4 linked regions of the Lonchura striata genome follow. The protein of the gene in region 3 purifies or fractionates together with the protein of the main gene of each other region. This does not show direct contact. Links are inferred from orthologs where the notes say so. Each region holds a gene or a part of one and is shown on either strand. Other genes may lie near its edges. The genes, in order: MGA, YAF2, CBX3 and CHAMP1.

Evidence for each region.
Region 1: the proteins of CBX3 (region 3) and MGA purify together in Homo sapiens (affinity purification with mass spectrometry; 4 studies listed by BioGRID and IntAct, with this or other methods). This does not show direct contact. The link is inferred for Lonchura striata from reciprocal best matches to the Homo sapiens genes CBX3 and MGA.
Region 2: the proteins of CBX3 (region 3) and YAF2 purify together in Homo sapiens (affinity purification with mass spectrometry; 4 studies listed by BioGRID and IntAct, with this or other methods). This does not show direct contact. The link is inferred for Lonchura striata from reciprocal best matches to the Homo sapiens genes CBX3 and YAF2.
Region 4: the proteins of CBX3 (region 3) and CHAMP1 purify together in Homo sapiens (affinity purification with mass spectrometry; 6 studies listed by BioGRID and IntAct, with this or other methods). This does not show direct contact. The link is inferred for Lonchura striata from reciprocal best matches to the Homo sapiens genes CBX3 and CHAMP1.

Annotation. Positions count from the first base shown.
Region 1 is NC_134608.1:37,052,803-37,060,775, forward strand, and holds the start of MGA (MAX gene-associated protein), read right to left. Parts: upstream 3,002-7,973; 5' UTR 2,867-3,001; intron 1-2,866. UniProt on the Homo sapiens protein: Functions as a dual-specificity transcription factor, regulating the expression of both MAX-network and T-box family target genes. Functions as a repressor or an activator.
Region 2 is NC_134607.1:38,823,468-38,830,350, reverse strand, and holds the start of YAF2 (YY1-associated factor 2), read left to right. Parts: upstream 1-3,868; 5' UTR 3,869-4,061; coding exon 4,062-4,087; intron 4,088-4,217; coding exon 4,218-4,343; intron 4,344-6,883. UniProt on the Homo sapiens protein: Binds to MYC and inhibits MYC-mediated transactivation. Also binds to MYCN and enhances MYCN-dependent transcriptional activation. Increases calpain 2-mediated proteolysis of YY1 in vitro.
Region 3 is NC_134603.1:123,910,341-123,917,625, forward strand, and holds the start of CBX3 (chromobox protein homolog 3), read right to left. Parts: upstream 3,015-7,285; 5' UTR 2,894-3,014; intron 1,368-2,893; exon of another isoform or gene 1,341-1,367; coding exon of another isoform or gene 1,317-1,340; intron 1-1,316. Other genes in the region: HNRNPA2B1 (heterogeneous nuclear ribonucleoproteins A2/B1), read left to right, coding at 3,270-3,299.
Region 4 is NC_134604.1:90,839,321-90,846,288, forward strand, and holds the start of CHAMP1 (chromosome alignment-maintaining phosphoprotein 1), read right to left. Parts: upstream 3,016-6,968; 5' UTR 2,929-3,015; intron 1-2,928. UniProt on the Homo sapiens protein: Required for proper alignment of chromosomes at metaphase and their accurate segregation during mitosis. Involved in the maintenance of spindle microtubules attachment to the kinetochore during sister chromatid biorientation.

The sequences.
Region 1 (7,973 bases), on a different chromosome or scaffold from region 3:
AACCAAAATGATTCTGTGATTTCTGTTAAGAATGAATCACTGGTGAGAGGCCAGGGGGGAAAGTAAAGTTAACTAATAATAAATGCTCTTTTTACCTATATACAACATGTTATATTTAGGTTAATGTATTTTACATTACTTCCTATATTTCAGCAGTGAGTGAGATGCCCATTGCTCATACATTCAATGAATGCTGTATTTGTTAACATACTATTATTTCAACTACCAAAAATCACAAAATAAAACAATGAAGTAATGCTTTATGCTTTTTGCCATGCAACACTGGCAGAAACCAGACATAATCAGCAGGAATAGCACCATTTTGATAAATTTCAATCCCTTTATGGCCATCATAAGGAACATTTATCACATACATGAATCTTCAGCTGGGGATCTTGTCCACATCATAGAAGAAAAAACCAAAAATGACGTAAATAAAAAGCCGTCACCCGAGTTCAGGACTGTCCTACTTATCCAGTTATTTTATAGCAATACTCATTGCTACAGAGTCACCAGTGGTTCAGCAAGTTAGAGCTGCCAAGGAACCTTTATTCCCCTTTTAGGGGGAAAAAGAACGTGACACTCATTCAAGTCCAGATCATTGGTGATGTGCTCCAGGTTTATATCCCTCTTCATTACTGTTTATTGACTTACCCTGGGGTCATAAGACCACACCAAATTAACAGAAAGTACTGTACAAGAGTTAGCAAAACAGCACAATTCCAACATCACAAATATTTGTTTAACAGTATCTGGGTCACAGTCTTGTCATTGTCCAAACTGGCTTTTCCTGACATTGTCACTGGAACAAAGATTGCATTTTTATTGTAGATAGGTTTTATCTAGTTCCCATTCATTTTCTCTCTTTTATGCTGTTCACATTCCTTTAATGCCTTTCTGTTTTGGGCTTGATTAAAAAAAATAAAACAAAAGAGCTTTCTTCTGGTTGCTTTCTTCTTATGACACACCTTCATCATCCTTCTCTCACATATCATTCTCACTGCATTCTTCCTTATTCAGCTCAGCAAAGGATTTATCCCAGGTACTAAAACCAGACAAAATCCAACAGTGAAAGTACATACCATCTTTGTATGGAAAGAGAAGAGCAGCTCCACCATCACCATGATTATTTGTTCTAAGGTTATCCAGTGTTAAGAAAGAGTAACAAAAAAAGCAAACCAACACAGCACAACACATCCTTAGTTATGGAAGAAAAAGACAAGAGGAAAGCCCTGCTAGTGCCACAACTAGTGGCACTGCTCCCTATGCACATGCCATGACTGAGTGTTCTTTTGTAGATCCTCTGCTGTCTATGAAACAGCAAACAGACAACAGCCTCCTCACAAAGAAGAGCTCTTTCTCACTCCAGTAGGCAGAGACCTATTTCATTGCGTTTGTAAGGAAAATGTCTTGGACTTCCCATTTCTTAAGGTTGTTTTTAAAAACAATCACGAGCTTCACAAACAATCTAGTGGATTTGCATATAAATGAAGAAGCAGCCTACATTCAAAAATAATTTCCTTTTTTTTTTTTTTTTTCCTGGAAGGTAACCAAACAAGTTTATTCACCACTGGTTTCCTCTAGTTGCACGTTTTCTCCCATGGCAGGAACAACAGCATCTGAACCGATACTGAGCCAGCAATGGGTGAGGTTAACAGCCATCTGCTGTTAGATGAAATACGGAAGTGAATGAATGCTGCCCATCTCCACCAGACCTAAGAAATATGGGTTTTTTCTCCCTATAAAAAGCTGTACAAAAATGCTCACCTATGGGAACACTTTTGAAGCAGAATAAATTTCCCTTTCCAGTTATCTGTACAGATTCACAAGGCACTGTGCCCGAGGGCACTGAAAGGGTGCTGCAGCTGCATCGGGCAGAACAGCTGCAAGCAACAAGACCAAAGCTTCAGCCTGCCCCTCTTCTTTAAACTGCCCTCGGTTTTCAGTCTGCAGCAACTTCAAATCTTCGGAGCTGTAGCCCATCTCATCAAGTGCGATTACACACGGCCCATGCCTTCACACAGTTCACGTCGGGAGCAAGGCAGCGTGACTGTTGTGCAAGATTTGACAATGAGTCAGGCAAGATGCTCCAACCACATACTGGGAAGCCACTCATCTCCCCGGGCTGCTGAAACAGCCGCTGGCCCTCGTGCCTAGCCGCTCCTCACTGAGCTCGCCTTCGCGCTTCGACTCCCTTCTAAACTCACCAGCTCAGTGCGAGCGGTTCCAAGCAGGGCAGCACCGAGGGCCGCGCGCCCCCGCGCCCGCCCCCGCGCCCTGCCGGGGCGCACGCGCGCCGCCCGCGGGCCGCCCCGCCCCCGGCCGGGGGGCCCCGCTCCGGCCCCGCCCAGCCCGCCGGCCTCTGCCACCCAGGGGGCACCGGGGCCGCTTCCCGGGAAAGGCTCTCTCGGCGCTCCAGCCCCGTCTCATAGGTGGCGCCGGCCACGCCCCCACCGGGGGCCGATCCCTCGGAGCGCGATGGCTTAGGGAGCGGCGGCAGCTGCCCGGGGCCGGGCCTCACCCGACCCTTCCCGGCTGGAGAGCCCGGATGCCGCTCGGTCCCTTTAAACAATCCCCCCGGTCAGGTGACCGCCGGCCGCTACCCATTGCCCGCGCCCCCGGGTCCCGCCCGCTCGCACCCCTGAACAGAGCGGCGCGGGGGCGCGCCAGGGGTGCGAGCGGCCGCCGGTCCCGCTCCCGTCCCGCGCGCGACCCCCTCGCCTCAAACGCGGGCGCGGCGGCAGCGCGCGGGCAGGCGGCGCGCGTGCGGGTGATTGGGCGGCCGCCGCGCTCACGTGACGCGCGCACGCCTCGCGCCACCTCGAGTGAAAAACTTCCGAGGGAGGGGGGGGCGGCCGGCTCTTACCTGAGTCCGCGCGCCGCCCGGCAACGCCCCGGCCCACGCGGCCCTCGCCCGCCACGCGCGACCTCCTGCCGCCCTCATTGGCCGCCGCGGTCCATCACGTGGGCCACGCACGTTCCCGGGCCCTTCCCCCGGCTTGTCTCCCGCCCCCCCGCGAGGCCGGTGCCGGAGCGCGGGGGGCAACGGGGTCCGGCGGCGGCCGTGCGGTGCAGCTGCCTCGCGACGCCCCGCCAGCGGCGCGCCGCCGATTGGCCGGATCCGCCCGTCGACGCAGTTCCGCTCCCAGGGCGCCGCCGGCCACGCCCTTCCCGCCCCTCCCCCGGCCGTGCGCGAGGGATAACACGCTGCTCGCGCGTGGGGCCGCGCGGTAGCGCCGCCGGCGGCCGCGCCCCGCGCGCGCCCTTCCCGAGGGACGGCCGCGCCCCGAGCGCGCTCCCGTGGCCGCGCCGGCCCCGTGGGCGCGCTCCTGCCGCCGCACCGCACCGCCTTCGGCCGCCTGCGGCGCCTTCCCGCGGCTCCTCGTCTTTCCTCCGCCTTCCGCATTCGTGAATCACGGAAGAGGGGCTCGTGTGCTGCGGGGTGCGATGTTCTGGCGGTAGCTGGAGCTACGAGCGAACGCCGAAGGAGCGATGCTGGAGTGCAGAAGGATTCCCACGCTGTGGGTGCTATTGCCGCTCGCACAAGGCTCTCGGACCCGGCCGGGCTCCCGGGGACGGGAGTGTTTGTGGAGCTGCACGCAACTGCACTCACACCCATCCCCGAGTCACCGGGAAGCTACGTGTGAGCCGAAAGAGTTAAATAAAAACTGTCAGCATAGGGACGTACTCAAAGGTGATTCTGGAGACTTATCCAGAAAGCCTTTATTTGGTGTACAGTTAAATAATGGAACAAATGTTGATGGGAAAAAAAAATACAGAAATCCCCGTGAGCTCTGGGCAACATGGACGTGTGCAGGTTGGCTGAGCTGTGTGGCAGTTGTAACCGAGGGCAGTAGCTGCATCAATGAGTACGGCCAGGCCTCCCGTGCAGTCTTGAAAAATAATTTCAAGTTGTCTAAGGTAAAGGCAGGTCACATGTAATGGAAACCAATTTAAAATTTAAAGAAAAGCTGGTGACAAACAGCACCATAATGTAGCCCTGGGCTGAAATTTCTGTGTTGGAGGTCTTGGCCTGGAAAGGTGCTCAGTCATCACAGCAATCTGCATTCCCCAGGCATTGTGACATTACTGAGAATGTGTGGCAGTATGGCTGGGGAGTCCATGAGGGATGTAAAAGGGGAAGTGTCTCATTAGGCAGAGATTCATATTTCTCCAAACTTGAACTTTGCATTGAATTGATACCAAATTGAGTGGTTGGTTCTCAGATCACTGAGAAGATCAAAGATATCTTCCCTCACAACTTACATTATATTTGAGGAATCTGTATACAAAGGTTGCAGATACATTAACTGGTACATAAACTTTTGTTGGGCTTTTACAGTCTTACAGCTGAAGTTCAGAAGGGTTTGGGTGTCAATGGAGAAAGCACTGGTGGACTTAGGACATGTCTTTTTGGAATTTCTGGGCTGATTTAGGGATAGCTTCTTTGAAATTCTGCTGCTATAAGGGATAAAATGCCCAATTCTCAGCTGCGGGATCTGTTTTAGTTAATAGGCCAAACAGAGGAAACGCCGCCCAAATAAAATGTACTGTTTGATATTTATATGTTTGCAACATCATTACAGTTAAAGGATAAAGAAGTAATGCCAAGGCAATCAAAGATATTGGAGTTGGAAAAATAAAAGATAACACATGGAAGGGAAGTAAGTTTTCAATAATCTCTCAGGAGGAAAAGACATTATGACTACAGTAGTTTTGAAGGAAACCTGATGGTGTTTGTGAATATTACAGCAATGAGCCAACTTCGTGTAACAGATTAAAAAAAAAAAAAAGAAAATTTGTTGTTTTGGTCTCTAAGTGCAAAAAATATCTTTTATTGGGAAGAGGTAGATCTCACAACTGTTGTGTTGAAGAAGTTCCTATGCAAGTTAGATTGAGAAAATCTAACTTTAAAAATGTACACATCATTTGAAACAGAGGTGCCCAAATTACAAGTGAGGTTTTGCAGAAAAAAACTTGTTTGTTGGCTATTTTTTTTTTTTTGAAAGTTAATTATTGGGAAAGTAAAGATCAATAGAGATTGAGGAACCTTAAATAAGCAAGAAAAAGAATTATCCTCCTCTCCCCCTCCTTTCCCTTCTGAATAAAACCTTTTAAAGGGGGAAGTGAAAAAGGGCAGTCAGTACCTGTTCTTCCAGGGCCCTGTCTGCCCGAGGACCACACTGCTCTTCCACATCATCTGTTTGCCCAGAGGCCCACTCACTATCCCATTTCTCTCCACTCTCCTGTTCACACATCGTTCACTGTGGGCCTCTTCACTTGAAATCAACACCCAACTTTTTCAGCTCTTCCATCCCCACCCATCCTATTAAGAATTATAAAATGGGCCTGGAAATCCAATAGGACTGTTCCCACCGAGGAGCATATTTAGGAAATAAGGGCTTTTAAAAACTGAGCAGAAACAGGCATATCCTTTTATAAGAATAAATTACACAGGTTTTGAGTGGGCTGAGCTTGTGGGAGGAAGGAAGTGTGATACAAAGAGAAAGGGTGGTGCTAAATCTGGTCTATGCCTAAGGCTGGCATTTTATTGCCAAACTCATTACCTGCTCTGTTTATTCATGATGACTGTAGAAATCCAACCCCTATAAACAAATTTCTCCTTTTAATAATATCCATTTATAATTAATCAAAATGTAAAAATAATTACATTTAAATGACAATAATTTCATTTAACAACCACCACAACCCTCATGTTTGAAGTATGTTATGTAAATGCTTTAATCAATCACTCAAAGCCTGCAAAATGTCAGATTAAGGATGGAACTTCCTGGGCACTGAGCGAGTCAGGATCATATGAAGAAAATAATGTGTGAATTTTTCATGAAATCAGCATTACACACATGGGAACCAGATAAAGATCACTGAGATAATTGTGAAGCTGACATTTACTAGCTTTGCAGCATGGATTTTGTATTCCAAATAATGACCTTCATGGAAAGGGTTCATTGATGATGGTTGCTTTCTGAGGTTTTCCCTTGGTTACATTGGAGCTGCTGCTATTGTGCCTCCTTGTCACAATTTAAACCCGAACCTTCCCCTTATACTGGTCACCAGAGCTGCACATTACAGTGCAATTGTACAGCAAGAAAGGTTCTTCTTTCCAAAGCCAGAGGCCAGGAATCAGCAGCTGGGACTGGAGAGGTAACGTTGGGAGGAAAGTCTGTCCAGCTTTTTTTAATAATTCGACAAAGAAAAATGGCAGGCAAAGCAGAAGACGTGCCCCTAACTTCATTGCTGTTTTTGTTTCACAATGTGATAAAGCCCCCCAAGACCTCATCGAGGTCCAGACTGCTCCCCCTTGCAGCCTTCCCTCTTTAGTCTTCCTGTCTCTGGACACTCAAAGGAACCTGTGCTTCTGAGGCTGGGCTTCTGCTCTCTCTTTTACACAAGACTGCAAGGCGGCCAAGTCCTCTCCTTCTCAGGGATCGTCCCAGCTTCCCTCCACGAGGACCAGGGACAATTGCGACCTCCGAATTCCCAAGATGTTGCCTTCCCCAGCCCAAAGAAAGCAGAGGTGAAACAAGGCTGCACTTTAGCTCCTCACTTCAGTCATTCCACAGAGAGCTGGGGGACCTGCGGCAGCACCCACAGGAGAGGAGCTGCTGGCGCGTCTCTGCAGTTTACTCCCGGCACGGTGTTTATTGAACGCAGAAACCCCTTGGGAATGCATCAGCGGCGAGACGCTGGGATTTGGCTTTCTTGCTGTAGGCGAGTTCCTAAAGGGCACAAGGTACCTTTGGGATCTGGCCAAAGGCTATCGCTCGCCGAGGGGAGCAGCCCCGACCACCCCGGAGGAGCTTTTCCAGCCTCGCTGTCTTTCCCAACTGCTTTGTGTGCCGCAGTTTTGGCTCTTCTGCTGCCACAAGCCTAGCCGAGCCTAGTCTTTTGTCCTTCCTTTTCCCGTGTTGAAGGGACCGCAGCCTAACAAAGCCTTTCCTGCCAGAATGGTTCAAACCCACCATCCCCAGACCCTGGGCTGCCCCTTCCTCGCGGTGACACCGCACGCGAGGGGTTAAACATTCCCCCAGGCAAGCCCGAGGCAGGAGGCTGCCGGAGCAGCTCCCGGGTCAGATCGCTATCGCAGCGCTACCGACCCGAGTCCCGCTCGTAGATGGGGCGGGGGCCGGGGCACAAACCTGCCCCGAAGCGCTTGGGGGGCGCGGCGTGCGATGGGGGCGGCGGCCGCCCTGCGCCCCAGGGGCCCGCGGGCGGGCGCGGCCAGCGAGCGCCTCCGTCCCCCGGCCCAGGGCTCTTCCACGGCCGTACACGCGCCGCGGGAGCCCCGGCGCCGGTCGCTCGGCATCCACGTGAGCACGGAGCTGTCCTGGAGCCTGGCAGGAAGCTCCGGCTGCAAACCGCTCGCACACGTCTGCCAGCGGCGGTGCGAAAGCAGCTGCGGCGCGGAGGCACCCGATGCCAGCGCGCCTGGCTGAACTTCCCGACAGCACCGAGCCTCTCCTGGCTCCTAGAATTATTTGCTTTTAAACTGAAAATGGCGGTGATTTCTCAGATATGTGAAGCCAGTAGTTTTCATGCTGCAGCATCCTCATTTAAAGCAGTTTTGGGAGCCCCAAACGATATTACAGATCTAACAGACAGACTCTACCCGTGCCCTGCAGCTTCTCCCGGTGAAAGGAGACATGAAGCAGGCACACTCGTCCCTCCTGCAAGAGGCAAACTCTGCCCCCCCAGCCCAGACTGCCACTGGCATACTAGGGTCAAGGCCTTCAACTTCCCCAAAGCTGGAGGCCTACCCGGTGGGTAAGAAGGAGGAAGGAAAAGGGAGAGGGAAGAGTAGAGGAAAGGGATGAGGCAGGCATCAGGCGCTGGGGTGCTGCTCAGAGGCAGAACAGTGGGGTCACAGGTTTTCTGGGTGGGTTGGAAACCATTCTTAGACCATTGCAGACCATCTAGAAGCTCCTATGCATTGGCAAAATTTTGTCCTCCCC
Region 2 (6,883 bases), on a different chromosome or scaffold from region 3:
TTGGAGCCAAATTTGTCTAAGCATACAGTCAAATTATGACCCTAGAAAGACTCCTGGACTTAATTACCACCATGTTACTCAAGGTTCATGACAGCATATCCCTGCTGATGTCAGAGCCACTCTGTGTGAAACCTGAAGGATATGCTGATGAATCAACTCTCATAAGTGCTATAATTCCCTAAAAAATATACAGTATGTTTAGATCAAACTTGTACATGCAAGGAAGTGAAAACTCTTTTAAAACAGCTTTTAGGCTCTCTGATGTCATGAAGTATTTTAGATGTGGTCCCTCTCTGTTCTGGCCCTTTCTAAAGCAGAATTTCGCTCTCCTGCCTCCACACTCTAGTAAGAGGAGCATGAGTAGTCAGTGGGCTGCTCCCAAGGCTGAGCAAACATAGGCTGGAGGGGCAGTGCTTGCTGTCACCAATCTTATTGTCTTTATTATAGAGTCTGCAAGCAGATTTCACTTTTCACTGTCTCTGATTTTCAATTTTTCCCCACCCTAGTATCACATAGAAACCCAGCCAGGATTCAGGCCTTACTCTACCTAGCATTCCAAAAAACCCCTTGCCAGTCAAATTCCCATTAATTGATTTCATTGTATTAATTTTATTATACCACCACAACCCAAGCAAAACAGATACACTGTGCTGGAATAACATGCATTTGTTCTAGTACAATTTTATACTTATGTGCTATTCCTTTTCATGAATAGGGATTAAAATGTGGTTTATCTACAACATAATGATAATCATCTTTATGGAGAGTTTTTTAAGCTCAAGCAGTGACAAAGTGATTACTTAATTGCTCAAGATGCTGATAATGCAGCAACTGGCACAAGTTTGCTGTGCACAGTGATGGTTCAAGTATTGACTAAATGGCAAGTCTTTGTATGGATTTACACAGCACTAGCTTGTTCTTAATAACCTTGTATGTGAACACCTTTTTTTAGGAACAACTGTAATTTTTTCTGCAGTAAGAATTTTTACACAATAGGTACTTAAAAATTTCTACCATCCTCTTTCACATCTTCTTTACTATGAATAAACTTTTAGCTGAGAAGTCATGAATGCCAGAACATTTATACCATACACCGAAATACATAACTTCCAATAGCTATCAGCATATATGATTTTTAATATCATAATCATACTATGAGCATTTCCCTTGTACAATGCTACAAAAAATATAAATTTTAAGATAATAAGACAACAAACACTAACTAGAGAGTGATGCCTGATGTAGAAAGATACAATTATATTGCTCATCCCTTCTGTCTCAAAAATGTGTTTACATTAACTCAGCTGAATTAAAACAGGAGGCAAATAATTGCTCTGGAAGAACTGTACCAGACAAAGTCAAAATTTAAGGATATCTAAAATTATAGTACATTCATCCCTTTTCTTTCCCAGAAACATTTTTTAAAAGACTGCTAATACTGATGCCATCAATTTTGTCATTCAAAGTTTCTAGATCATGTGCCATACAGACATTTAGCAAAGACAGATGAGTTTTCTGGGTTTACATGAATACCACTGGATGACAAAGTATCTGAGTATGGAATTTTTTACTTTTTCAGTTTACCAAAGTCCCCCTGAATCTCTTCAGTATCTGGCTATTACACACACCTCTTACATATGCTTTCCAGCATTGCTGCTAAGTAATGCCTTCCATCACTGTTTCAGTTGCAGGGATGACATGGGATGGCTTGATGCTGTCAGTGGTCTCCTCTTGTGTTCCTATTTGAGGACAGAACAAGGATGCAAGGAAAATAGTATTTTTTTCCTTTTCAGGATTATTGAAGAATAAGACCCACACTTGCACAGACCCATGGCCACTGTGACTTGCATCATGACCCATACACTTGAACTTTTGAATGTACCATCCACATTTCAGCTTCCAAAATAAAGATTAGTTGGAGCTCAGGGGAAACAAGCCCAATGCTGCTGGGAAAACATGGTTATTTTTAGTCATGGTCATTTGCATGATGACCTTGAAGCAGAAGGTCTAGAACACAACAGCCAGAAAGATTACTCTTTTGTTAGGGATAACATTTATGGATGGCAGTTGCATTTCCTCCTCCTGATTATACATGGTCCTCTCCAAGAATGGTTCCTGAGGGATTAAAACATATCTAGGCACTTTGAAACCACAAGTGGAAATTCCGTTTCCCACAGTTGGTATAGAGAAAGTAGGCTGTGACAGGGGAAAGGTCAAGAGAAAGCAGTCATATCAAAATAATTACTTTCCAAAAGTAGGGAAATAATGTTTGTTTATACAGTGACTGAGAAAGAGTGTGCTGTGGAAAAGGGCAAAAGGAGACAGGTTTCTCTACTGCTTTCCATCAAGAGATTTCTACATAAGGTCAGGTTCAAGCACAGGTGGGATACCTCATATAATTCTGTAATTTTAAACATCCGCTTCTGGACTACTGGTGTAAAGTACTCTTTATAGTCAATGGAAAGAAATAGTCTCCATAAGTGAGACAATTGTCTTAGCATCAGATCAATCACCTTCAGCATGAGCTTGTTTCTCCTGCTGAGAGCTGGGTCTGGGCTCCTAGTCCATGTAGATGTCTAACTAAATGCACATGAGCCCAGGCCAGCTGTCTGTGCGTGGCATGCCTCACCCTCAGATGTGCAATCCGTACATTTTATTCATAATTTACAGAAGACTGCATGAGAAGCCTAAAGAGAAATTGCAATAGACAAAGGAAAGGAAAGGTGAGGCATATATAGAAAGAGAACCGTAAGGTGAGGAAAATGGCAAGAGTGGAAGGTGGACAGGTTTCCAGTTGCTGACACACAGCATTCCTAGAGAGACAGAGAAAACTGTGAATCTCGTAAAAGTGTTATTCATTTGCATAAATGCTACATCCCAGTTAAGCGGTCTTTAATTGCTTCCCTAATGTGTCAAGTGCTTTACCTACATTTTCCCTCTCTATCCTAGTATTTCTAGCTGAAATTTATCTTGACAACTTTGCCTTCAAAATCAGAAAGTTTCTCTGTTGTCCACTTGCTTAATTTTTAAACACGTCTGTGTCTTCATACACTTCAGTAAAACTCGAAATTTGAGCATATTTTGTTATGGAAATCCCATAATTTCTTGGCAATGCAGCAGGAATAGCTTTGGCACTGAGATGCTGACCGGTATAATTTTATTGTCTTCTTGCATTCTGCTCTCTACCTGTGTGTCTAGCTGCTGTCTTTGTTATGCTCCTAGGACATGTGCTCTTTGTTCTATTTGCACAGCACCCTGCAAAATGGCATCCTAGTCTGTGACTGGACTCTGGTGCACTCTGATAATAGAGGTGATAAACACCCGTGTCCTGTCTGAGGTTGCTATGGTGCATGAGAACCACGCTGTTCTTGCAAGCTTTTAAGTGCAAAAGTAGGACCCTGCGCACGGGGACAAGGCAACACCATTCTCCAGGTTTTGTATTGATACCCAGGGTGATCTCCCATGGCCTCAGGCCAACGGGATGCTTTAGACCGAGACTTCTAGGCAGAAGTTCGCATTCAGCTTATCCGCGTTTGTTTCTTACTGTAAACCACTGCCCGGAGCAATTTCTGTGGGAGGAAGCACAGGACGGTCCAGCCGCTAATGCGAGCAACCTCGGGCGACAACACGGGCGGCTTCACGGGAAGAGCCCGCAGGCCGGCGGCAGTCACTCACCGCGCCGCTCTGCCCATCCGCACCGCCTCCCCGCCGGGGCCGCCCCCGGCGCGGCGCCGCCCCCGCTCCGCCCGCCGCCCCCAGCAGCCCCCGCGCTGCCCCGGGCCCGCCGCCGCTCGCAGCGCCCGAGCCGCCGCGCAGCGAAGCTGCCGCCGTGCGCGGCCCGCCGGGCGCCGCGGCCTGCGGGCGCGCTGGTTGGCGGCGGCGGGACACGTGAGCGGGGAGGCGGCGGCGGCAGCGGGAGTTTCCCCGACAGCTGGGGCTTGCGGCGGCGGCTCCTCCTCCCCGGGTCCCCGCGAGAGCCCGGAGACCCCCCGCGCTCCTCCTTATTGACAAACGCACAAAGGGCCGCGCCGGGGCCGGGCCGGGACGCGTCTGGAGCCGGCATGGGGGACAAGAAGAGCCCGACCAGGTAGGGGCAGCGGCGGCGCTTTCTCGTTCCCCCGCGCCCTCCGGGGGCGCGGGGCCGGCGGCGGGGGCGCGCCGGGGGCGGCGGGCGCGTCGCGGCCGGTGCTGCCCCTGGCGCGCGTGTGTCTCCGCAGGCCGAAGCGGCAGCCGAAACCCTCCTCGGACGAGGGGTACTGGGACTGCAGCGTCTGCACCTTCCGCAACAGCGCCGAGGCCTTCAAGTGCTTGATGTGCGACGTGAGGAAGGGCACCTCCACACGGTGGGTCGCCGGCGGAGGGGGAGCGGGGCCGGCGGGGGGCGGCTGTGCGGCCGTGACAGGAATCGGGGCCGGGGGAGCCGCGGTGCATCCCCAGGGTGAGAGGGAGGGCGGCCGTGACAGGAATCGGGGCTCGTTTCTCAGGAGTGGGGGCGGGAACACGCAGCCTCCGCCGGCCGCGGCTCCTCGGTGAACCTGACCCAGCGCTGCGCCGGCGTGTGTAGAAACAGAAATAATAAATACCAGGAAGGGCATAATTGCCTGCACAGCCTAACCCTGGAGGTATTGTGCCCTCTCACGAACAAGAACTGTCCTCTAGGGTGTGCCTGCTAAGACAGTCACCCTTTAAATTTTTTAAAAATTTATTTTAATTTTTTTCCTGTGAGTTTAACTTTGCTTCATACATAACCCCTTTGTTTGATTATTATTGGTAGCATTATTTTAATTTGCTTTTCATCACAGAGCATCACCATGCAGGTTTCCGAGGGCTATAGGGGGTGGATTATAACCCTTCAGTGTTCAGGAGAAATTTTTAGCTGAATTGCGCTTTATGGAATTGTCTCCGTGTGTACCCGTGACTTCCCAGGAGGACCTTTCCTCTGTACACCAGTCACAAAGCTTGCTGTAGATTAACTGGTTCCTGTACCTGCCGGTGGCCTAAACATGTGTGCTTGGGGAATGGAGGCGTTTTACAAACGAACTTGAGTGCACTTGTAGCTATGCATGCTAATAGAAGGTTGCTCAGGAATCCTTTCTTACCTTTTCATACCTACGGGTTAATCCCATCAGCAAGAGAAGTTTAAATGGCAATCAAGTTGCAATCCTATCAAAAGCCACAATTACATTGTAGATATTGGTCAAAGCAGTGATGAGTATGACTTGCAATAAATGTTACATGATTGAAATCGTAAGGGCAACGTTGGGTCCAATTACTCGATAAAAATGATTATTCTTTATTTCTGGAGCTAGTTTCCCTGACTTCTGAAAACCAGAATGAATATTGGAAGGACTTCTCATAACTTCAGTTGTGAATATTAGTTGAATGTTTTTGTTTGTTTGTTTTTTAACAAAGAAAATCAGTAAGGTAAATGTGACAGGAGGGAATTGCATCTGTCACATATATTATGGTTTCCTGTTATAACAATGGCATTCTGTTTATATCACAGAGAGATGTGTACAGATTGGTATCGTTCAGCAAAATAAGACTGATGAATTAATGCAAAGGCTTTAAAAACATAATGCAAAAAGCCTCTAACATCCAATCAGTTTCATAAGAAAATTCAGTTTAAAATTATGTTTTATTGCTTTGGAAGCTCAGCTGGATAAAAGCATTGAAACTTAAAATTTTTTTTTTCTTCTGAGAAACAAATATTTTCATTGTCTTCGAGTTTCCCTGCTTGAATATTTAATATTTAAAATAATTTTTCAACAAATTGTCTTTTTTCTTTTTTTAGTTTCCACTTTCTCCCTGACAGTGACCTGGTATGCAAACTGTAGTCAATAGGTTGATTCTTTTTTCCCCCTCTACTTAAACTCTATAACAATGTGTCCCTGATTACGTTTATGGGACTCTTTGGGACTCTTTTTCCCCCTAAGATTTAGATGGGTTGCATCTTCATATTGCAAAATCCAAGTTTTACACATGGCATGAGGTAGATAAAAGTTGAAGTTTTAGGCCAGGCAGCTTTTGTCTCCAGTTCTGATATATGATTTGAGCCAGTAAGGAGACCTTTGTGTCCATGAAGAGAATCATTAGGGTGCCAAAGAAACACAAAAGGCCATCTGGGTGCTTGTTTTTTTTTCGTTGTGTTTTTTGTTGTGGGTTTGTTTTTTTTTTTTTTTTTTTTTCCCTAAAGACCTCTGGAGTCCAAGTGACCAAATGATTACCTTGGAAAAGCATTTGTTGGTGTTGCCTATAGGACAAAATGGTTTTCATCAACATGGGGCAGGATAACGATGCTACCATGTTTTGATGGCACTGAGAATGCATTATTTATTTATTTTAGTCTTCCATTTTGAAGCTTGATGTTAGATTAAGGTGCTGCATCAGCATGGTTGTTGCTGTGCAATGCTTCTTGCTTAAAGGCTTTAACTGTGGCTTTTTTTACTGATTAGAGCTTTGTCTATAAGACATTGTAAAATGCTACCTTTATTTTAAATTCAGAGCAATCTCTTTCTTTTTGTTGAAATGTGTACCTGATTCTGCATGTTAAAAGTTCATTAAATGTGACCAGATTTGCAGGTGGAAAAACAGGCAATTGTATTGAAGCTAAGTGGATTTGAAGGCCACTGGAAATCAGGTGCAAAGTTGATTAAAGCTTTTTTTATTTTAATACTGATTGTGCACATTTGCCTTTCCAGAAATATTTTCAGGTATGGGTAGGTTTTGTGGGTGTTTTCACTGTTGAATAATTTCTTCTCTCTGAAAGAGTTATCTTTTGTGCCAGAGGCTAGAAGTGGATTATGTTCTTTAGTAACTGATATAATTGTTAAGATTAGTGCAAATTTTTACAATTTCTTGATTATATTTTATTTTTAGACTG
Region 3 (7,285 bases):
ATATGACACCACATATGACAGATGTAGATCTATGGATAAACACTCTTTCGTTGAGGGGCAAGGTTAAAACACTGATGTGACACTGTGGTGTAAAATTTTAACATACAAGATGTAAGAAAATTGGAATTACAGCTCTAGAGCTACCCTACCCCTTAACATATTTAGGTTTTGCATGCAAATATATAACTAAGCAGAATTAGTTATGGTTCCCATGGGAACCATAACTGATTTTCCTGACCTGTACAGCAAAATTCTCAATAACATCAAAAGATTAAAAATACCACATTCAAAAGATTTTTTTCCTCTCTCCAAAGCACCCTTTCCCAGGCTGGCTAACTTCTTCTCTTCTTCAAATTAGGGATAAGTGGACAATCAATTACTAACAGAAAGTTTAGACATTCATCTCGGTGAAATATTTTAAACCAGTACAACACAGAGGAAGCACTCCGTTGCACTTCTAAGCCAGGAGTTAATAAAAGTTTTGAATATATTTTGAACTGAGTAAACATTTCTGTAAATTTAAGAACAGGCCTTTCGAGACTATTATAAACCAGCTGTTCTGCTGCTGGAGTTTTGAATTGTGCACATATATTTTGGCTTGCTTCCCCATCTCAATCTCAGATACATCTCACAATATACTTCTACAGGTCTGTCTTTCATGAAACTATGTATCAGTATTAGTTGAACTGCAACCAGCAACCAACTGCCATTGGAAGTCCATATTTTAATGTCAAGCAAAGCTTTAGAGGACTTGAGATCCATGAATGCATCATTAAAATGGTCCAGGAAGGGTTGACATCTGATAATCTCTGCTCCTATGAAATTCAAAGAAACTGTTATTTGTTAAAAAGCATTTCAAAAGGCATCTTAATTATGCCACATCATTTCTCAATAATGTTACTTTCCATCTGTAAAGATTGCCTTTTGTCAGGCAAATATTTTTCTCCAAATACACTGGGAGAAATTAAGTGAATACATGATTTAGACTTTATTTTTTACATGTATGATGAATTACATGGTATGCTGAAAGGAGGCTAAAAAAAATCCTCAGTATTTTCTATTGTAGAATAGATGAAATAGTGCAGAGTCCTTTCATACTTTTTTCTCAACACGTTTCTCTTTAGAAATGGCAGATTTATTAAAACCAAAGACAATGTCCTTTCTAGTAGCCTTACTTTCTGGATCTGAAATTTGGTCAGAATAATGCTGGGGAGGGGAGATGTGGATGTATCTTTTAAATGGAGATGCCAAGTTATAAGTTTGAAGAAAAATATGTTGATTAAATCCTTATATACTTTAGGTGTGCATGAACTTACCAATGTAGTTTTATTGGAGGCCATTTTTATTGCAGACTTGCAGAGCTTTTACTAGAAAAATGCATGACAATTAAAAGGAAGTTTGCATTACTCAAAGAAAGGCATCCCAAGACAAGCATGGTCCTTGTTCCAACCCCCATGTATTCACTGCATACAACATTTCTTACACGGATTAAATCCAGAACAAAAAGTAGGTTACTACTTTGTCCGGCATAACCCAGTAATGCACCATTAGGCTAGCCAGGATAAATGATACTGACAAGGTGGTATATAGGGTTGAAAAAAATTTTTCCCAAGGCCTTCAAAAGCATAGACATGTTTCTAGGGAAAAGGGGGAGGACCATCAGGGATGCTCATTTCCTTAAACCAAATAGAAACAGAGCTCAAATTCTAGCAATTGAAGACATACCTAAGGTATATTAACTGTAAATATCTGATGGGGAAGATATATATATTTGTGGTGCAATGAATCACCCATTATTCTTACATGGTAGCAAATTCTTATAAACAGCAAATATTTCTCTTAATGCAACTATAATGTTGCCTTCTGATTCTCAAGTTGGCAAGAGTTAAGGTCCTAAAACAATATTAACTCAGCTAAGATGTACATACTACATATTTAACCTATGCAAATTAGGTTGAACACAATCCATCCCCTTTTCCATGTCATTTCTCATACCGACCAGCTCCATAGGCATGTATTGTCACCGCCCCGCAGCGAGCTATAGAAATGCTAGAATTCCCCATATGCCTGGGTAAAGCAGAAAAGTCCTTTAAGGCCAGAAAGCCTTCCGGACTCAGCAATCCCGCCCAATCCTCCCCTGACACGGGAGGCGGATTTTGGCAGCCGCATGGGCGGTGGGTTAGGCGAGGTGGGAAAAGGGCCGGGGCCAGGGCGCCAGTGCCGAAGGTCTTGCCTTGCGTCCCCCGGAGAGGCAGCAGAAAGGGGTAAAAAAAAAAAAACCCAAAACCCAATAGCAACAATCCCCCCCGCCACAAACCAGAGGCAGCCCTGCGGAGGCCTGCTGCGCCTCGGGCCTGCGGCGGGCGCACATGAGGCCGGCGGGGCTGCCCCGGGCGAGGTAACGGGGACGCAGGCCTGGGCCGCTTCCGCCGCCGCTGACAGGGCCCCTCCACGCCATCTTCCCCCCGCCCCTTCACGTCTTCCCCGGGCCGAGCACACGTAGGGACCGCCGGCGGGCCGGCTTTGTCTGCCGCGCGGGTGCCGCTGCCCCCGCCCCCGGCACTGCTCTCCTTCCCCTGGGGCGACAGCGCCCGCGTGCCCGGGCGCCGGCCTGCCTCCCTCCCTCCCTCCCTCCCCGAGCGGGTGCCGAAGCCCCGATTCCCCGACAGCTCCGCTCCGCCCGCCACCCCCCACCGCCAAGGAAGCGGGGGTGGGGAAGAAGCGGCGGTGGGGGGAGGCGGGCGGGTTGCGCTCCGCATCTCCCCGCGGCGGCCCGCAGCGAGCCGCAGAGGAAAGGGGAGTCAGGGAAAGGGACTCGAGGGTGAATGGGGTGAAAGGAAGCGGCTGCAGCGAAAGAAAAGAGGGAGAGAGAGAGAGAGAGAAGGATACAGACTTCAATGGTGCCCAGCCGCTTAGGTCTCCTGTCTCCTCCTGGCTCCCGCCCTGCGCGCACTGAGCGGCGGCGGCAGCAGCAACAGCGACATCCGCGGGGGGCTGAGGCGGGGGGTGGGGGCAGGGAGGGAGCGAGAGAGGGAGGGCGGGAGCGGAGGGCGGAGAGCGGCGCGGCGGTGGCGGGCTGGGCTGGGCTGGGCCGGGCGAGCTCTGCGCGCCGGCGGCTGTGACGGGGCAGAGCGCACGACGCCGCCGCCGCCTACGCGCGAGCCGCTACAACCTCCGACCGTCGTCGCCGCCGGCACAGGAGGGGGGCCAAGACGTCTCTCCAACGCGGGGCGAGCGCAGGACCGCGCCAGGCGTCCAAAAGAAGGAAGATGCCTCGCGGCGACAGGGAAAGCGACTGGGTAAGCCTGGGGGAGCGGGCGGGGTTGGCGGACCCCGAGAGCCACGGCCGCCATCATGGCGGCCGCAGCGAATGCGCTTCGGGCCGATGCTGCCCGCCGCCGCGGAGCGAGGCCCTCGATCGGGGCGGCCGGGCGGGCCCCGGGCGTGGGGAGGGCAGGCGAGGAGCGCTGGCGTAGGTTTGAAGCTCGTTTGGAGGGGCCCCCTTTGGAGGGCGGCCATTTCCCGCGTTGCGGCGGGGAGGCCTGGGTGTGAGCAAGGGCGGGGGGAGGGAAGGGGGCTCGGGAAGCTGCGGGGCTCTGGGGCCCGAGAACTCATTCATAAGTGGGAAAAGGGGTCGGGGGAGTCGGCTGGGGAGCCTTCACTGCAGCCAGGAGAGCTGCGGGTGGATCCGCGGTGAAGCTGAAAGGGAGGGGGAGCAGAGGGGGCGGGAAGAAAGGAGCTGCTCCAGCGCCATTTCTTTGGCGCGCGGGGCGGCAGCACTCACCCTTTGTCGCGGTGCGCGTAGGGCCGCCGGAGAGGGAAAAAAGGAGGGGATGAAGGAGAAGAAGAGGACAGCGCGGCGGAGCGGGCAGCACGCCCGATGCCGATGGTGCGGGCTAGAGCGGAGCGAGCTGCGGCGAAGTCCGCCTCCCTCCGCCGGGGCCCCGCGATATATCGCACTTGTGCCAAAATCTGTGTAACTTTCACTTCCTCCTGCCTGGGCGGAGGAGGAAGGGGGCCAGGGCGAGGTTTCGGGGAGCGATGCGCTGCCGCCCCCGACTAATAATAACGCCGAGGTTTGTGCCTTCGGGGCCTTTTGTCAATTTCCATAAAAAAAACCAAACAAAATTGAGTGCCAGTAGCGTTCGAGGCCGCTACGGCTGCGCTCGGGCACGTCTCGCGAGCCTGTCGATGGTCAGAAACTGCCGAGTTGGCTGAAGTAGTCGGTGACTTGCTGCGTCTTTCTGTCCGGAAATTGCCGAGCTGGCCCCGAGCGCCATTTTCGCGTGCTGCGGCAGATTCCGGAAATTACCGAAGCGAGTCGAATGGGCTTCCATTCCTGGTTCGGCTTTTTCCGGCGGCTGTCGAAGCGGATAAGCTCGACGACGACAGCTCCTTCGGCTCATTTCGGAGACGGCCATTACTAACGGAGTCGATGACTTTCATTACACGATAAAAACACGTAGGGGCATTATTCAGAATTGCAGCCCCTTTGGAGATATTTAAGCTCCAGATCCTGTAGTTTTTTTTTTCTTTTTTTTTTTCTTTTTTTTTTTTTTTTTTAATTAATTAAACCTCGGAAGCGAGCCCGAGCTGGAGTACGAGGGCGCTAACACTACGCGGAGCTGAATTTCAAATTACGTAACAGCTCAGGCAGCCATTACCGACCAGTTGTACGGTACTCTCGAGCGGGAATACATAAACCATGAAGAACATGGTACGTGGAATGGGTGGATTTAGACCTTGCTTTTAAGGAGGGAGACGCGTTTGCTTGTGTAGACAGAGTGAATTTTTTCGGGACTCAGAATTACAAGCAAGCTTGAGTCGTCCGCACAAGTCCAGGCGCTGCCGCCGGTCGCAGCGCGGGGCGGATGCTGGATGTCTTTGCGCAGAGGAAGGTTTTGGAAGCGGCGACTGGGGCTGGCGCACAGCCGGGCGAGGCGGCGGAAGCTGCGGTAACCGCGCATGGCGGACAGCGCGTTCTTGAGCCCGTGGCCATGGCTATTAGCTGCGCTGCTGCTGAGGTGTCGGAGGAGCGGGGGGAGTCTGAGCCCCGCGGGCTGGGGGGGCCGTCTTGGCCCCCCGAGGCGCGGAGCGGCCGAGCGGCGCTGCGGGTAATGGCGGTGGCGAGGGGGAGGGGTAAAATGGCGGCCTGGCTGGGACTCGCGTCTGCGAGAGGCACTGGGGATCCCTCCGGCAGAGTGGGCAAGGCGGGCGTCAGCTGTAGTCGTCTGGTATGCACGGGGGCGAGAAGGAGCGCTGGAGAGGCCTTAGTACCGTGTGTGTAGGTGTACGCTGGCAGCAATTCGCAGCGCTGTCCCTGGAGGCGGCGGCTGCTCCCGGGCGCCATTTTCCCCGCCCGGCTCGGGGCCGCGGTGTTCCCGCTGCCGCCACATGGTGGAGCCGGCGCGGCCGCTGCGTCCCGGCCGCCACAGGCGGCGAGCGAGCTGCCGCTGAGGGGTTGCGGAGCTCTGGAGTTCAGGGATTCCCCCTCGCTCGTCTCCGGTAAACATTGCTGTTACCCGAGTTCTTAATTCCGCTGTCAGCGTGGATTGTGTCTGCGCACGTTACAGCTATGTGAAACACCTTTCCTTTCTCTGGTGATTAATTTTTTAGTAAAGGCTATGCGTTTTTCAGTGCTTTCAAGTTGCTTTAAGACTGTGGAGTAAAGCTTAAAATACACACGCATGAAGATCCTACAGAGGTAGAAATTTCCCTTAGTGCTTTGTTCCTGCCACGGGCCATACTGTGGAAATCTTGAAAGAGGTGTTAACCTCCAGCTTTTATATTGTGGCCTTTCCTAGGTATGAGGTGTCTGTCTGTAGCAAAAGAGTATTTTCCTTAGGACTCTATGAGACACTGGCATGATGATAGTTATTGTACATTTTATACCTTCAGCACAAACTTTAGATGTGCAGAACTCTCTGGACTTTGGTAGGTTAGTGTTAGGCCAACCAGAGCTTCTTCAGACTGGCTCATTTGAGACAGATAGTTTATCTGCATCTAGAGATTTCGTGTTAGTGGAGCAGCGTGTGTGCTGTTTTCGCACAGTGGTTTTCATTAAAGAACTGGTAATTAATTTCGTTATTGCTGTTTTCTGACGTGTGGTGCTTAGATGTTCTGGGTAGATCATGACCCTAAATACATCTGTAAAATGCATTACTATTCTGTTTAATGTCTGTTAGTTATATGTAGTATATTTTTATAATTGTTATTGTATATTTTATAATTTTACAATTGTTTCTTGAGTTCTGTTTGCAGGTTTGTAGCTGTTTTCAGGGGGTAACAATAACACTGGAAAAAATCCTGCCTGTCTACTAAACTTACTTAATTCTCATATTTTTATAATAATGTCCTTTATTAAATGGGTGGTAATAGATTTCATAGATCTACAAAAAAAACCACATTTTTATATCCAACTGTAAGCAAGTGGTCCCTAATTCTCAAGCAGCAGAACTGAAGGGAGGATTTTTATTTTTGCAGTATTGTTGCTTAAAAATTTTTCTTTGCTCTTTTACTCAAAATTAATAAATAATACTATGACATATGGTGAATATGTTTTTTTTATACTGGTCTGGTGTGCAGTGTTCTTTGTTCCTTTTATGTGATGAGGTGAAAAGGAATTAGTTGAAACATGTGTCTGCTGCTTGTGAACATGTGTCTTATTTTGCTTGTCCTTTTGTCTAAGGAGGAGACAGTACTAGCTTTCTTTGTGTTCTTAGAAGAAAAATAACTAGATCCAACAGCAGAGTCAAATATTTTTCAAGAGAAATTTGAACTGATCAATCTTAAATAGAGTATGTATTTGGAAGAAGGAGGGGAGAAAGTTGACTTCCTTGTCAGACTGCAGTATGAAAGGCTGGTAATACAGAGGTGTATTTTGAAAAAAAAACCCTGGGTTGTCACTGCCTACGGTAATTGTACTGTGTTACATGCATCTTGATCCAGGCCTACCTTGGACAACTTCAGAAAATACATTGGTCTGTGTGCAGATTGGCTTAATTCTTCCAAAAGCATATGTACACAGAAATATTTTGCTTGTTTTCTTAGTCTCAGTGTTTTTCTAGTTCTTTTTTTAAAATTTATCTTAATCCCCATTGCACAATTAATCATGTTGTGTTTGTCAGTTACACCTCCTGCTGTAATGTTTGAGTTGTATATAAAGCAACCACTACACTAATGAAAACACAGCCAAAGGCCCAAGCATATTTTCTTGATTATTAAAGTTAGTTAACAGTATAAAGCTGAAGTGATTTGGTTTGAGTTCTCTTGTCCAGAAGAGTTC
Region 4 (6,968 bases), on a different chromosome or scaffold from region 3:
TGAACTGAGCAATAGGAGTGTCCCAAGCTAATGCACAGAGAGGAGAGACCTCCTGATGTCCTCCCAGCCAACACATCCAGCCATGTCAGAGATGGTCCCTGGATTCTGCACCCATCTTCCACAAGGATCCCAGTTAAGATTAAGCCATACTTCCTACAGCCTCTCAAAAACGTCCCAGTGGAAGAGAAGCAGAAAAATGCAGAGGAGATACCTATACATAAGAAGGAATCCATGCAAGTGTTGGTACAACATGACTCTGGCAGCAAACAAGGATGTCTATACATTTTAACTCCATTCCAATTTCACAGCTACAAATCTTCCAATCACTCCTGGTAATTTTTAATAAACACATTCTACACTTAGAATTGCAACAGTTAATATATACTAGTTTTTTATATACTGCATTTTTCCTTTACTGAAGATAAGCTGTGACTGTCCAAGGGAAGCAACAAAGGGCTCAAAGCTAAAGATCTAGACTCTCAGTGAGCACAGAGAATTAGACTGCTTTCTACATTACATGAAGAAATTCAGAGCACAGCAACAAGTAGTCTGCTACATCATTGTGTCTTGGTTCTCAGGGGCAGAAGAATATATAACTCTTTCCTCTCAGAAGAATATATAACCCTTTCCTCTCAATGAAGCCTGGTGAAACAGAAGCAGAGAGAGAACATGCAACATGCTTTAATGACACCAACACAGCTGGGAAAATGACCCAGAAGAAAGCCCTGTGATTTTCTGCAATGTGCTACAACCACACATAAGATTCCCTATACCAGTCACTGCGCAGGAAGGATCACTGTTGGCTTTCATCAGCCTTGGAAGTTTCTTGCAGACTAACAGCTCAGTCACAACCTCTGTCAGTGAGGAGGGTCAACAGCAAATTTGTTCTCAGAAAAAGAAAGCTGAGGTAAGTGAGATACAGCATCATCATTGCCTCTGATAGCAGGAACAGATCCAGACTTTTGCTGGGTTTAAGCAAAAGGAAAAATTACATGTTCTTGCAGTGCCAAAAAGTAAATGGCAGTTTGGTGGCAGCATGACACTTCTCTTGAAGCTACATCCCTGTATTGTGACTGACAAAGAGAAGTTTAGCTCCCAGAGGAAGCTGCACACAAACACCCCACCGTGGGGCAGAGCAGGCACTTCACAGTGCACTAGGCAGGTACGGGCATCACTTCCAAGGCACCATGAACAAGACAGGCAGCCCTGTGCTCTTGCTAGTCCAGAAGCATCCACAGTATCTGACTACAACCTCACATCTGAACTCCCAGCTATCAGCCAATCTACTCAGGCTAAGCTCCACCAGCAACAATTGCTGAACAAGGTCTTTAAAATTACACATCTACACAAGGCACAAACACTCTGACCCAACCAGCCACTGAAACAGCAAGGAATGCTAAGAACGTGAGAGCCACAAGTTCCAGGAAGGAAATGCTGCATTATGAAGTTCCATGTTTCCAGGAAAGGTTCAAGTCAGGAGAGATCTACAAAGTGACAATACTTGATACACATACAGATGACTTAAGAAAAACAAACCACCTAGAACTGCAACAATTTTGCAATATTTCAATCTTTGTGAAGAGAATGACAAGTCTACACAACATTAGCTCTTGATAGAAGATCTATCAACAGTCAAAATTGCAGAGTAAAATCAGTATACCTTCGACAGATTCAAGACAGAAGAAATTAATTCCATGTACTGCTTCTACAGCTTTCTAATTCCAAATTCACAATTCCACTTCCAGTTGGCTTCCAAAAATGCCCCCAAAAACATTACTGTCGCAGTGCTGTACCTGAGCTAATGAAGTGCCACTAGACCCACTAGAGCATAACAATCTAGTCAAGATCTGAATTAGGGTCGTGAAACTTAGTAACATGCTAAGAATTCCATTAACACTACCCTGAAAGAATATGGAGTTCAAGGGAAGATTACAGAAGAGAAATGTGAAATCCAAAGTTTCTATATTCCTCACTTGCAAAAAATTCATAGAATCGTTTAGGTTGGAAAAGACCTCTGAGATCATCAAGCTCCAACCTATGACTGAACACCACCTTGTCAAGTAGACCATGGCACTCAGTGCCACATCCAGTCTTTCCTTAAAAAGCTTCAGGGACAGTGACTCCAACACCACTCTGGACAGTCCATTCCAATGTCTAATCACTTTCGCAGTGAAGAAATTCTTCCTAATGTCCAGTCTAAACCTCCGTTGGTGCAATTTAAGATTATGTCCTCTCGTCCTGTCACTTGTTGCCTGGGAGGAGAGGCCGACCCTCACCTGGCTACACGCTCCTTTCTCGCGGTTGCAGAGCGCTAAGGTCCCTCCTGAGCCTCCTGCTCTCCAGGCGGGACAAGCCCAGCTCCCTGAGCCGCTCCTCACAGGACCTGTCTCCAGAAGTGCCGTGAGCCTTGGCTCTGCACCTGCTCCTCTGCTCCCACGTGCGACGCAGCCGCTCCCGGCAGCTATTTCTGTCACCGGGGAAGGGCCCGGTCCCGGCGGGGACACGTCCCGTGCCGAACTCGCTATCCCGGCACAGCGGACCGGCGGCGTGCTCCTCCTGCTCCTCGCTCCGCCGGCATCACTCTAACTTTCCTGCGGGAAGGGGGTGCCTGAGGGCTCGGCTTTCCCGGCTCCCCGCTGCCCGGCCCTCCCGGGGCCGCACCCCCGGGGCCGGGGCCACGCCGCCCGCCCGTTCATGCCGCCGCGGCGGGCGCTCTCCCTCGCCGCCTCCGCTCTCCCTCTTCGCTCCCGTGCGCGGCCCCACCGGTTTTGTTCCCCCCGCGCCGGCACCGCCAGCCGCCGCCGCCCCCCGCGCGGCGGGGGCTGGACAAGGGGAAGGCCCAGGCCCGACGCCCAGGGGGAGGGAGGGGAGCGCGGCGGGCCCGGGCGGCGGGAGCGGGGCCGAGCGGGACGCGGCGGCGGCACTCACCGTTCGGCACTCCGGGACGGCGGGCGCGGGCCGGGGGGGCCGGGCCGGGCTCCCCCCGCCAATGGCGGCGGCGGCGGCGGCGGGAGGCGGGGCCGGGTCACGTGCCGCGGCGGCGGCGGCGGGGCCGGGGGCGGGGCCGCGCTCCGCGCCCGCCGGCAGGGGGCGCTGCGCACGGGGCCCGGCCGCGTCCGGGAGCCCGCGGGGCTCGTCCGGCGCGGGGAGAGTTCCAGAGCCGCAGAAACACCGAGTCACAAAGCCACAAAAAGGCTGCAAAACACCTCCGAGGTCCTCCACTTGATCAAGCACCACCGTGTCAACGGGGCCATGGCCCTCGGGGCCGTGTCCAGTTTTCCTTAAACGCCTCCAGGGACGGTGACTCCACCACCTTGCTGGGCAGCCCATTCCAAAAACCAGCCACCCTCTGAGTACAGAAATTCTTCCTAAAATCCAGCCCAAAAATCCCTTGATGCCGTTTAAGGCTGTGTTCTCTCATCCTGTCGCTGGTGGCCTGTGAGAAGAGCCTGACCCCAGCCTGCGGCAGCTCCTTTCAGGTGTTGCAGTGGTGGCAAGGTCTCCCTGAGCCTCCTCTTCCCCAGGCTGAGCAGCCCCAGCTCCCTCAGCCGCTCCCTGCAGGACACCTCCATCGCTCTTCCCCGGATCTGCCATTAGCATCCTTCCCCAAATGTGTGCAGGGCTCTAGGTGTGGGCTCTGCACAGCCAAATAGGCCACACCTCAGGAACTGTGTGTCCAGTTCTAGACACCTCAATTCAGGAATTGCTTTTTGTCTTTTGGGTTTAGCTGTGCATTTTGTCTGTAATGAAAGAATGAAAGAGTTACAGAATCACAGAACCAATTAAGTTGGACCTCTGAAATCAACTCCAACCTGTGAATGAGCACCCGCATGTCAACCTGTCCATTTTTTCCTTAAACATCTCCAGGGACAGTTACTCCCCGGAGGTGTTTAAGGAAACACTCTCTGGAGGCTGAGGGGCATTTTGTTAAGACAGAAGCTGAGGATAACCCAGGTTCTTGTTACTAGATCCCTTGGGGGACGTTAGTGTGAAACAATACTGAATGATCAGTAGTTGTAAATAAACAATGTAGGTTTTATTATAGAACAACTTGGCTGCAAAGGAAAACAGGTATGGAGCTGTTTGGGTGGTTATTATCTATAGTAATACAACATGAAAGCATTGCAATGTGAAAGTGCAACATCACCCAAGGACACATACAAGGGGAAAGAAAGAAAGGACAAAGGAAAGAAGAAAAAGGAAAGGAAAGAAGGAAAGAGGAAAGGAAAGGAAAGGAAAGGAAAGGAAAGGAAAGGAAAGGAAAGGAAAGGAAAGGAAAGGAAAGGAAAGGAAAGGAAAGGAAAGGAAAGGAAAGGAAAGGAAAGGAAAGGAAAGGAAAGGAAAGGAAAGGAAAGGAAAGGAAAGGAAAGGAAAGGAAAGGAAAGGAAAGGAAAGGAAAGGAAAGGAAAGGAAAGGAAAGGAAAGGAAAGGAAAGGAAAGGAAAGGAAAGGAAAGGAAAGGAAAGGAAAGGAAAGGAAAGGAAAGGAAAGGAAAGGAAAGGAAAGGAAAGGAAAGGAAAGGAAAGGAAAGGAAAGGAAAGGAAAGGAAAGGAAAGGAAAGGAAAGGAAAGGAAAGGAAAGGAAAGGAAAGGAAAGGTGAGGATCTCACCACCCTAAGCCTCACAGTAAGACTTGATTACTGTCCAGCGATTGTGGTCAAAGTGGTGGTCAGGTGATGGACGAAGTCCCGAAGAAGTGGTGGGGATGAATCTGCGGAACACATAATCTCTTGGGTTTATATTCACTCTGGTTCAAGTAAATATAAATCAGGTGCCTTCTCAGGACCAGGGAGCTTCATGTAATACTGTAGATCATGGTGCAGTTGAATCAGTTTGCCCCATTATGTCCCATCAGCAGAGATGAACCTGCTCTGGTCACACTTGAGTTCCCTGGCATTTCCAGGGGGAGGAGGGCAAGCCCCACAGCCCAGTGGTTTGTGCAAGGAAGCACAGCTTGGCACGACAAGGGGCACAATTCTCTCCACTGGATCCAGCGCTTATCTCACTCTCAGCCCATCATTCACCCTGTGCCTTATCAGATCAGAGGTTTAGCCATTACACAACTAAAAGTTCACCTACTCCCTGTCAACCAAGCACCCTGGCATCTCCACAAATGAAGAATGTTTTGAGTCATTGTCTCTTAATAGTTCCGTCTCTCACACATCCTCATTGCTCTCTACATCTTCTAGAGGAGAGAAGCAGAGGGAAAGATGCTAAGCTTTTCTCCTTGGTACCCACTGAGAGGATAGGTAGGGATGGCTCAGAGCTCCTTCAGGCAAGGTTCGGGCTGTAGGTTTGGGCTGTAGGTTCGGCAGCATTTCCTTACCAAGAGGGCGGCTCTGTGACAGGCAGCATTCAGCAGTGATCTGTTACATCCCCCGGCTGCTTGGATAGAAGCAGGATTTTTCACCAGTCATATCTAAGTTTCCAACAAAATCAATCCTGCCCATGCTCTGAAAATGTAGTGGAAGTGTAGTGATTAACTACAATTACTGATTGATGAGGAATTTATTTATTTTTTCCACATCTAGATGCCATGGAGAAATCTAGCACTGCAGGCTAGATACCCTCCAGGTGTTCTGTGTAGTCACGTCCCAGGCTCATATCTCTTTAACTACAGGTTATACATTTATCATTGGGGATTGTGGTTTTCCATGACTAACAAAACCCAACTGGTCGACTCTATCCAAATCTGCAGCTAAGAATATTATTGCTACTTATCCCCTTGTACTTGCATTTTATCTGCTTTTTATTACTCAAAATGCTGACTCCTGCTTTGTTCATTCATGGAAATAGCTGTAAAGTCAACCCAAGGCCAACTAATAACCTGTAATTTTCACTTGATCCTGAACTTGTCATCTCTTTCTGATTTGCCAGTGCTTTCATTCATCTTACAGTTTTAAAATTAATTTCCAGCTACTGTAGTTAATTATTTCCATTGAGAATGGAATCAAACACTTAATTAAATTTCAGATAAACCTGGTGTACCCCATTTATTAGGTTTCTTCTTAGACAGACTAAGTAAACTTCTTCCATGCTATTGTTACCTGTAAGTGATTTGGAGTACTTGGAGGATTTCCTTTCAACCTAGTGAAGAAGTTCTCTCAAAGGAGGTTATGAAATCCCACAGAGATTTTTTTTTTTCTGGATTATCAATTACAGAGCATAGGTAAAGAACACATCTCAACTAACTGCAGTGAATAACTTTTTTTAAATAGACTTTTTTTTTTACTGTATGGTTATACTTTCTTTTTTTAACTTGTTTAGAACTTTTTTTCCTTTACATCTAGGGATTAAATTTGATTTATGAAATCATGCTAAAGTTTCATAAGTCTCCCCCCTTTCGGTTATATTATTGTGAAAAACACTTGAATATCATTTGCAGTTCTAGATTTTTTTTTTTTAATAAGCAACATGCAAAAATTTACCATATCCACTGGTGAAATCTCTCAGTAAAAATGCCAGCAGGCTTTTGAAGGCATGGAGTTTAATCATCCAAGACAGCTATTTTTTCATTCAATTCCTTCCCGTAGGCTTCTAAATTACTTTCTGAAATGGCCTTTTGCTTATTATGCATTAGTAACTGTAACAAATACAGCAATGAATGTTACCTAACAGTGTAGCTAGGGAGATCACAATTCATTGGAGATACATCTAAATACCCCTGGTTATATTTTTACCTTATGTAACATATTCACAAATGTTTTCCTCCTTGTTATTTGATCCCTGATTTAGGAACTTTAAAGTTCCCAATATATAAGCAACTTTAATCTTTGTATTTCAGGATGTTTTTAAATGTTAAGGAAACAAGACTGAGCCTTTTCAGCCCTGAAAATGTTTCCATTTCTCCTTTGATATCCTGATTTTCTTGACTGAATGCCTGAGAACATAATTGTACACATACTCTTGTTTCTGGATGCTGATGACCTTCAACAGCTGTCAAAACTGTGCAAGAACTTCCAGCAGGTAA